2 linked regions of the Arabidopsis thaliana genome follow. The protein of the gene in region 2 purifies or fractionates together with the protein of the main gene of each other region. This does not show direct contact. Each region holds a gene or a part of one and is shown on either strand. Other genes may lie near its edges.

Region 1 (4,783 bases), on a different chromosome or scaffold from region 2:
TGACTCACTGAATCCATTTTCGACGAGGTCGTTGAACGTATGACCATCGCAGTTGTAGGTAAACTTGTTGTTCGAGGAAGGAAGATTCTCAAGGTACTGAGCAGCGACAGATGTGAAATTGCCTTTGAAATCTGTGAACTCGACGAGGATTACGGTGCCGCGAGCGATGAAACTGTAGAACAACGATTGTTGCGCCATTATTTTGGTTCCTTAAAAAACGACGCGAATCTAATTCGATCTTACGGGACCGATATTAGAGATTTATATCGGCGAGCACGAAAGCTTTAGAGATCTAGAAAACTTGACGCTGAAACGCGTAGAGAATCGAAGACTAAGCCAAGTAAAACCACTGACCAAGACAACACGTTTGTCCGAACTTGCATTTGTTCTTACATGCTGCACCACAGTTTTAGTCGACAGGAAGTGGCTGATTTGCCGCAATAAGGAGATCACTTTCATTTCCTGCAAATACACATAACCGCGACATCAGCCGGAGGTGGCTCCGCAAGTCGCCTCGATTTCAGCAGTCGAAATCTTGAGCTCAGCATGGCAATCAATTCGAAGAAATTCCAAAATCTCAGAAAATCAGGCGAATGTTTCCGAAATTAGGGAAGCAGAGGAGAAAGCGTTTGAGCAAACCCTTAATGAACTAACCGGAGACTCTGGTGAATCGGTCAGACGAAACCGTGTTAATTACATATTCATCTCCATTTAATATTAACCGGCTGTGGACTATGCTTATACCTCACTGCAATCCGCAACTAGAGTCTCATCAACAGACCAAAGAAATTAGTAAATTGCCAAGAACAAGTATCGTCCAAATATTGGTTTGCAAGAATTAGTGTCAGTACCAGCAATAGCAACATTGCAGATTGTCGAACATGCATACATATATGTATAATATATATAGCCTATACAAAACAAATTTCAAGAAGTACAATCTAAGAAGAAACATATAGTATGAGAATATAGAAATCACAAAAACAAAAACAAAACAAAAAGGTAGCACAACGAACTGAATGAAGATATTCTCAGAGATCTTGGGAAGCACAGAGCGCAGTCGATAACGCCGGGAAGAAATGTTCCAGACTTATTTACCGCAGTTGAATCCCCCACAAATTGAGAGGATGATGATGAGAATCAAGGCAATGATAATTGCAAGGACAATGAGCTTTATCTTCATGTTCTGAAACCACATCTTTCTTCTCATTTGAGTTCCTTGTGTTCTAAAATCTTGCGCCTGTGATAAAGTCGAGTTCAAATTTAAAGTTAGAAACCCAAGAAACAACAATCAGTAAGAGAAAGCTGCAAACTCTTGCATGTCTCTGTGTGGGTCTATTGACTTTGAACCATTTAGAAAACAAACCTGTGAGCGAAGGTTTTCTGTTTTGTCAACCAAAAGCTCAATCTTCTCACCACGGTCAAGAACCTGCAAACGAATGCATAAACGAGTTAACAACAGAATATGTCTTCACAACCGAGAATAAAACATTCCTCTCTACAGTTTATGCTTTACGAATCATAAGATCCTGGTACTAAAGTCATACAAGCTGAACTCTGTTCGAAAAGGTTTACAACATAAAACTATATCGATAAAAAGAAAAAAGGGTCAGAATCAAACCTTCTCAATGTTTTCCATCATAACACCTTTAACTTCAGACACTTGAGCTTTAACCTTAGCAAGCTTGCTAATCTCATCAGGATGATCCATGCAATACTGCATATGCTCTTTCAGTTTCGACCTTTAGAGAAGCCAAAAAGAAGTCCATCAATAACTATGCCCATGAATCATAGACCCTTTTCAATACCAATCAAAGAGATCAAAAAACACATACCCAAATTCTTTATTCAAGCTGTTTGCTTGAGCAGTTGCAGCCTTTCCACCACCATATCTCTTGTTGAAATCCTCCTTAACTCGTTCCAAGAAAGCCATAGGAATCTGCCTCCCAGCAGAATCAACTGCAACAACACAATAGGCTGCACAAACGAAAACAAAACCGGTCCATTTTAAACTCTATATTAAGAGATAAAGCAATAGATTCATCAATATATCGCTGATAAGAAAGTTAACACTATCATAAAGAGACCATATCCGCCATCAACATCACCCAAAACCCAATTAGGTTTAGTAAAACAGAGTTACATAAAGAACACAATACACTAATGCCAAAAACTTCATGATATCGAAAGCTACACGCAAATAAGCAAAGAATCAATAGATCCAGAACAAAAATTGCAAATATTCATTGATAGATCCACCAAAAATATCACTGATTACCATAGATCTAACATCAATTAATTATCAACGCCAATACATAATTATTACTGGAAACTATACCAAACATAAGAACTCGATTCATATTTCTCAATTAGGCAAAAAATCTAATTCAAACAATGGATAAATCAAAACACAAACAAGCTACGCTTACAGATCGAGCAATATTTTGACTCACTGAATCCATTTTCGACGAGGTAATTGAACGTGTGACCATCGCAGTTGTAGGTAAACTTGTTGTTAGAAGAAGGAAGCTTCTGAAGGCACTGAGCAGCGATTGATGTGAAATTGCCTTTGAAATCTGTGAACTCAACGAGGATAACGGTACCACGAGCGACGAAACTGTAGATCAACGATTGTTGCGCCATTTTTTTTACTCAAAAACGACGCGAATCCGATTTTACGGGACCGATCTCAGAGATTTATATTGGCGAGCACGAAGGCTTTAGAGATCTAGAAGACTTGACGCTGAAACGCGTAGAGAATCGAGGACTAAAAGAGAATACGGTGAAAAAGAAAAGTGTAGGAGAAATCTTAACGTAGTTGAAGAAGAAAAATCAAACCCTTGAGTTTTAGAGGGCAAAAAAGTTATATTTCAGAAAGATTTATGCAGATTGTGCAAATTGAAACAATCTTGAACTTGAGGACCTAAAAGCAAATTCAAATAATCAACTTGTGGGGTTTTAAAAAGTTGGTGATGTTGGTGTAATGGTATTTTGTTATTTGATAGTTTCAACGTATTTTTATCAGCGAAAATGAATTTGGATAAGCTAGTTTGAACTTTGACCTTTGAATAATTGGTTCCTATATTATCTAAATCTACTATTAAAATTTAAAACTTAAAAGTCATCAAAGATTATTACATGTGGTTGGATAATAATTTTATAAATTGTCTTTTTTGGGGTATTTGTAGAAAATTTGGCATATTTGGGGTTTTGGTGTAATCTAAATTAAATGACTAAATAAGAATATTTTCAAAGTTATAGGAAAGTTCAATGGTCTAGTCACCATAATAAATGATAATCTACAATTCTACATGCATCCCATGTCCGCTCCTATTAATTCAAATCTATTTTTTTCTTGATTTAATTGTACTTAGAGGTTGCTTACTATTGTAATATATATACCTGAATTTCACGTGTACACTTCTAAAGTGTATCTTATATTTACAACAAGACTATATTTTGTATTTAAAGTTGAAATTGGTAGGTGTGAATGTGTGATAGTTTTGGAGGAATGGTTTGGAAATATATCGATCGTTTAAATAAAATAAAACAAGAATATGGTGCGAGAGAAGGGATCAATTTGTTTGAACTTGACCGCAAAAATACTTTACGATGAGATCAATTTTCACTCGTCAATCATTTGGTGAGAAAAGGATGACAATTTCTAAACGAAGTTTATTCTAACTCTCTAGGAGATAATGCCTCAAAGGCTTACAAATTGCAATAAAATATAATAATAAGAAATGTGATTGGAAATACTAATTAAAAATAAAATAAAACACACCAACGAAAGGAAGAAGAAGAAGAAGAGAGAGGTGGTTTATGTTTAATTTGTAAAGCGGTAACATCCTGTAGCGGCACTGCAACCACGTCGGTATTTGTTATCCGGTTTATCCGGTTTACCATCTGGTTTGGCTGGTAAGTTTTTCTTCAATGCTTCGTAATCTATAAATCTCTTAGCTTGAAGTATCCTATGGCTCACATCTACACCTGAACTCATCTTCATGATCTCTTCTTTTTCTCCACCGTCCATGCAATTGTCACATTTTACCGGACGAGATCCGACCACAAGCGCTGGAAGCAAAGCTGCCGAGATGATCATCACAGCGATGATCAAGAGCTTCATGTTATTCATCATCGAGACTTATCAAGAGAGTGTAAAGTTGAGAGTAGTAGTTGTTGTTTCGTTTACGTTGAAATGGTTTGTGATGAAACACTTGGTTAATCTACACTTTTATAGAGGTTAATTTTTTTTGTAGAGGTTCATCGAATATTTGACCAGATTCTTACTCGAAAAAGAAAATCAAAATTACTCCGTCAAATTCATGGAATAAGAAATGAATACGGTGCCCAAAAAAGATGAACCTACACAAATAAATGATTCAGTGGATTTGTTTTGCTCTGTATAGTGATCAAAGTCGGTCAATTCGCATAATTAATTGGTCAAAGCCTCAATAATGATTTCCATATATGATAACATTGATGGCTCGTTTTTAACACAAAACTGAGGGGATGCATTGGAACATGATTATAACGTCTTATACTGCCGTTATAACGTCTCCGGTATCAAAGACAAGATACTATAACGAAAAGAAAAAAAAATACTAGAAGGAACGTTATATAAATAGCTATGAGAAAATAAAATTATGGGGTGAGAGAGGCTCGAACTCTCGACCTCAGGATCACTCAGTAGCTATGAGACCTACGCGCTAGCCAACTGCGCCACCACCCCAACTGTTACTATTAACACTGTTTTAGTTAATGAAATTCAAGGTAAAATCAT
Region 2 (4,723 bases):
ATTCTAACTAGTTAAACCATTATTTTGTTATGCCTAAGGATGAGTTGAAAGAAGAGAAACTAAAGGCCAAGGAAGAAGCAGAGGACTTAACACAAGAAATGGCTGAATTAAGATATGAAATGACATGTTTATTGGAGGAAGAATGCAAGCGGCGTGCATGCATCGAACAAGCATCATTACAAAGAATAGCCAATCTAGAAGCACAGGTACTTGCTTCTTTATATCTTCCAATTTTTTTATTTTTTTTGAGCCATCAGATATTGTTGAAGGAACCTAACAAATATCCATTTTCTTGTTAAGATCAAGAGAGAGAAGAACAAGTCCTCAACTTGCTTAGTTCCTCTTCCTGCTGTATAAACCAGCTAAGGTTCGAGTTAAACTTGAAATCACAGTTAATGCCTCAAATAAGCCTTTAAGCTATAAGGTTTGAATTCTTATGTATTTAAAGTGTACATAATCCAATTTGATTGGAAATTGGAATATAGATTTCATCCCTGTGATTATGTTTATATATGGAAATTGAGTTTTACAAGAGTGAAACTGCTTCTTCATGTGCCTACCAAAAAAAAAAACTGCTTCTTCATGTGGCTTCTAAGTGTTTAATTACGCCTTCAGCAACATGTAGAGATCTTGAGAAATTGACATGAGTCTCTAGAGAATGTTGAAAGCTGTGGTCGTTGACCAAGAAGATTCTTACTATTTGACTCTATTTGATAGGCCTGTAATGAGCCTAGGTCAATAAGGCTGAGTTTATTTGATGGCCCGTTTTTCTCTCTTTTATTGTTCTTCTTTTTCTTGTGAAAATAAAGAAATCTGGAAGCGTTGTTGTATCATCATGTATGTGCAGAGTCTAGTAACCTTGTTGTTGATGCAAAGGGATAAATGAATGGGTCAAGGAAAAGAACCTGTTGTCTTTATTGTTAATCAAGACACTTGTAGATTTGTTGTCTAACCTAATCCAACTTGACTTTAAGCAAAAACATATTCCAACTTGTTCTTCACCAAAATGATATGTTGAAATATCGTATCTACTAGGACATCAAGATTTTGTTGTAGTCGTTATCAATGTAACCGGTAACAAATAAAAATTAATGAGATAAATTAGGCATGATCATATCCATAGATATTGTCAAACAATTTTCTATCTTCAAGTAGTTTTTGGTTTTGGGCGAAAATATGTTCTCTTTGACAAATTCAACAAAGACCATTCTTTTTGGATGACAAAATTGACAACTTACCCATTCTTTTTGGGCTCATACAATTTATCAACTAAACCATCAGTACAAAAAAAGAAGCAGAAATTAGAAAAATATAAGAAAATGACTCTTTCTCTGTAAGAAAAAATCCAACTACGTTTATTATATCCACAATTACGTCCTATATACAATTAAAAAGATCTAAATTGCTCTATTTTCGTTAGAAAGTAGTTACTTTTTACTTTTTTAGAAGTTTGATCTAGAAAAAAAAAGAATTATATATATGACCGTTTTAGATTTGAATTAAATGATTTTGTTTTATTTATTAATTGATCCACGTTCCTTTCTACAATTTGTTTTTTTTTTAATCTCCTTGATAAATTTTCGTCAACACATACCCAAAGACCTCCTTGTTGTACTCTCAAATTCTTGGGTCGTTCTGAGTCGTCTCCGCGTTAAATCTTTTCCCTTTTTGATCCTTTCTTCCTTTCTTCTTCTTCTTCGCATTGATTTGGTCCTCCTTCCTCTTCTATTCTATTCATTAAGAACCTAATCTTCATCTTCTCCATCTTCTTCTTCACGGACTCCACTTCGCTCATCCAGGTAACCACAATCTGCTCTCTATCTTTTGCTTCAAAATTCTCAGTTCCTTTCTTCTCAATTTCCGTCTGCTAGATCCTGGGCTTTCGATTTGTTCCGTTCCTCTTCTGCGATTGTTTCGTTCCAGAGAGAATTATCGAAATAATTAAGCGAATTTTGTGTGTGGTTTTCATAGTCTTGGGTTCTTTAGCCGCTACATATACTCAATTATGCCCAAAATTAGGTTTAAAATTGATTAACTAAAACTTATACTTTTTGGTCTCGTCTTATGTTATCGTTTAAATTGTTCTTAGAAGTGAAATCATTCGATGCTACGTTTTTGACTTGTTGCTTTACTTTATCTATACCTTTGATTTGATCAACTTTTCTCTTAGCTTACAAGTTAGAATCAAAGCATCAATCCTGATTACTGTTTTGGTTTCTGCAGGAAGGTTTATTAGTAGTAACCAATCCAAGTGTTCCTTTTGTTTGAAGCAACAAGCTTTGTGATATTATCCTGAGAGACAATGTTTGGTTTAAGGAAATCACCGGCAAATCTTCCCAAGCATAACTCAGTCGACCTCAAGTCTTCCAAGCCAAATCCTTTCGATTCAGATGATGAATCTGACAACAAACATACCCTTAACCCTTCTAAGAGGACTACCTCTGAACCCTCTTTGGCTGATATGACAAACCCTTTTGGTGGTGAGAGAGTTCAGAAAGGAGATAGTAGTTCATCCAAACAGTCATTGTTTTCGAACTCCAAATACCAGTACAAGAACAATTTCCGTGATTCTGGTGGTATTGAAAACCAGTCGGTTCAGGAGCTTGAAGGTTATGCTGTGTACAAGGCTGAAGAGACTACGAAATCTGTACAAGGTTGTTTGAAGGTAGCAGAAGATATAAGGTCTGATGCTACCAGAACTTTGGTCATGTTACACGATCAGGGCGAGCAAATCACTAGGACGCACCATAAAGCCGTTGAAATCGACCATGATCTCAGTCGTGTGAGTTTTTCTTCCTTCTGGTTCTTGATTATAAAATGGAAACATTCAATCTTTTTCTGAGGACATTAGTTGGTGTGAGATAAGAAGACGGTAGACATTTGATGCTGAAACTAGTTGGATTTTTGGTTTTCAGGGTGAGAAACTTCTTGGAAGCCTTGGAGGCATGTTTTCAAAGACTTGGAAACCAAAGAAGACTCGTCCTATAAATGGTCCCGTCGTAACCAGAGGTTTGCTTCTTGGTCATTGATATCTCAATTCTTCTCGCAGCTATTTTACTTTCACCTAATTGCTGAATCCTTTATTTTGTGTTTTTGCTTAGATGACTCACCAACGAGAAGAGTTAACCACTTAGAGAAAAGGGAAAAACTGGGACTGAACTCAGCACCCAGAGGACAATCAAGAACCCGAGAACCACTCCCCGAATCAGCTGATGCTTATCAGAGAGTGGAGGTTTGGACTTCTCTTCCCTCTCTTCAATTTTTCCTTTCATAAGAACATTACTATACTCCTGCATCTGATATGAGTGATGCATGAACTCTTTATCTGTGGTCCTGTAATGCTAACAATTTGAGACATTGATGACTCATCAATGATGAGCATATATATCTGAGTGAAAAACATGTGTTTTGGACGCCACTAAACTTAATACTGGTTTATTACAGATGGAAAAAGCTAAGCAAGACGATGGGCTTTCAGACTTGAGTGATATACTCGGCGAGCTAAAGAACATGGCTGTTGACATGGGAAGCGAAATCGAGAAGCAGAACAAAGGACTTGACCATCTTCATGATGATGTTGACGAACTCAACTTCAGAGTGCAACAATCAAACCAACGTGGTCGCCGTTTGCTTGGAAAGTAGATGAACAGAGGGTTTATATGTTCATTACACTCATTCCTCGTTTGTTTTATTCTCTATGAAGTTGTTCTTTAAAACTGGAAAGATTCTTATCATGTTAAATACATTATTGCTATCTGTGTTTGTATTTGATCTTGTGACAAAAAACCAAAAAACTTATTGATCAAACAGAAGCAACTTTGGTATCGTTTTTATCTGTATCATAAAGCTTTCTCAAGAAATTCTGATAATAGATGAAATTATGAGTTTTAATCTCAGATTTATAACCTAAAAATATCAGTGCTAGAATACGACATAAGAATACAGAAACTCCAGACAAGTTGGAACATATGTTATGCAACAACTGCACAATCATGTGAGATTATTCAAAAGAACAAAAAAACCAGGAACTCTTCATTCCCTTTAGTCTTCCTCAGCTACAATCCAAGGGATATATTCCACAATGTCCTCTTCTTCACTTGTATAATGTCTGAAGCCATAAAACACAAAGACTACTAATGAGAACTAGACAAAGCAATCTGACATAGTTGGAAAGAACTATGAATAGAGGAAATAATAATCTCATACAAACACCACTTGTTCCCGAATCATATTCTCAAGCCACAAACTCGACAATCAATGAATATAAAGTGGCTCCAACATGACCATTAAAAACAAATAGCTTTGGAGGATATTGTAATGACAAACATACATCTACTGAAGCTTGACTTCCATGATGTTCTTGGTCTTGGGAGGATATGCCAAGTAAACCTTGAGCACTCTCTCAGCAACAAAAAGCTGTTTTTTAGCTTCAGCATAAGCCTCAGTCACCTTCGATGGGTCAGTGAGATTCTTGTTCATGCGGAAGCCATCCAAGGTCCTTCGCTTACTGTACTCCCTAATGTTGTAATCAGGGAATTGACGTCCCGCTCGAAGCAAGGCACGACATAGGCTAAGAACTTCACTACTAGACACCATTGCAAGATTGGAAACTAACCCTTAATTATACAAAGCCTGGTTAACTGCAATCAGTATAAGAACACAAAGAAGCTGAGATTAGCAATGCCGAAAAGGAAGAGAAGTAGTCAAGATGATCAAGGGATAA

What was found.
Region 1: the proteins of SNAP33 (region 2) and SAR1 purify together in Arabidopsis thaliana (affinity purification with western blotting, with the first as the bait; 2 studies listed by BioGRID). This does not show direct contact.

What each region holds. Positions count from the first base shown.
Region 1 is NC_003071.7:14,042,695-14,047,477, forward strand, and holds SAR1 (synaptobrevin-related protein 1), read right to left. Parts: upstream 2,850-4,783; 5' UTR 2,644-2,849; coding exon 2,430-2,643; intron 1,978-2,429; coding exon 1,836-1,977; intron 1,743-1,835; coding exon 1,622-1,742; intron 1,430-1,621; coding exon 1,367-1,429; intron 1,241-1,366; coding exon 1,091-1,240; 3' UTR 765-1,090; downstream 1-764. Other genes in the region: VAMP723 (vesicle-associated membrane protein 723), read right to left, coding at 9-198; RALFL18 (ralf-like 18), read right to left, coding at 3,827-4,138. UniProt on the Arabidopsis thaliana protein: Involved in the targeting and/or fusion of transport vesicles to their target membrane.
Region 2 is NC_003076.8:24,621,725-24,626,447, forward strand, and holds SNAP33 (soluble N-ethylmaleimide-sensitive factor adaptor protein 33), read left to right. Parts: upstream 1-1,523; 5' UTR 1,524-1,799; exon of another isoform or gene 1,800-2,019; intron 2,020-2,223; 5' UTR 2,224-2,302; coding exon 2,303-2,782; intron 2,783-2,915; coding exon 2,916-3,009; intron 3,010-3,101; coding exon 3,102-3,232; exon of another isoform or gene 3,233-3,444; coding exon 3,445-3,642; 3' UTR 3,643-3,907; downstream 3,908-4,723. Other genes in the region: AT5G61200 (myosin heavy chain-like protein), read left to right, coding at 39-206, 301-357; AT5G61220 (LYR family of Fe/S cluster biogenesis protein), read right to left, coding at 4,333-4,596. UniProt on the Arabidopsis thaliana protein: t-SNARE involved in diverse vesicle trafficking and membrane fusion processes, including cell plate formation. May function in the secretory pathway.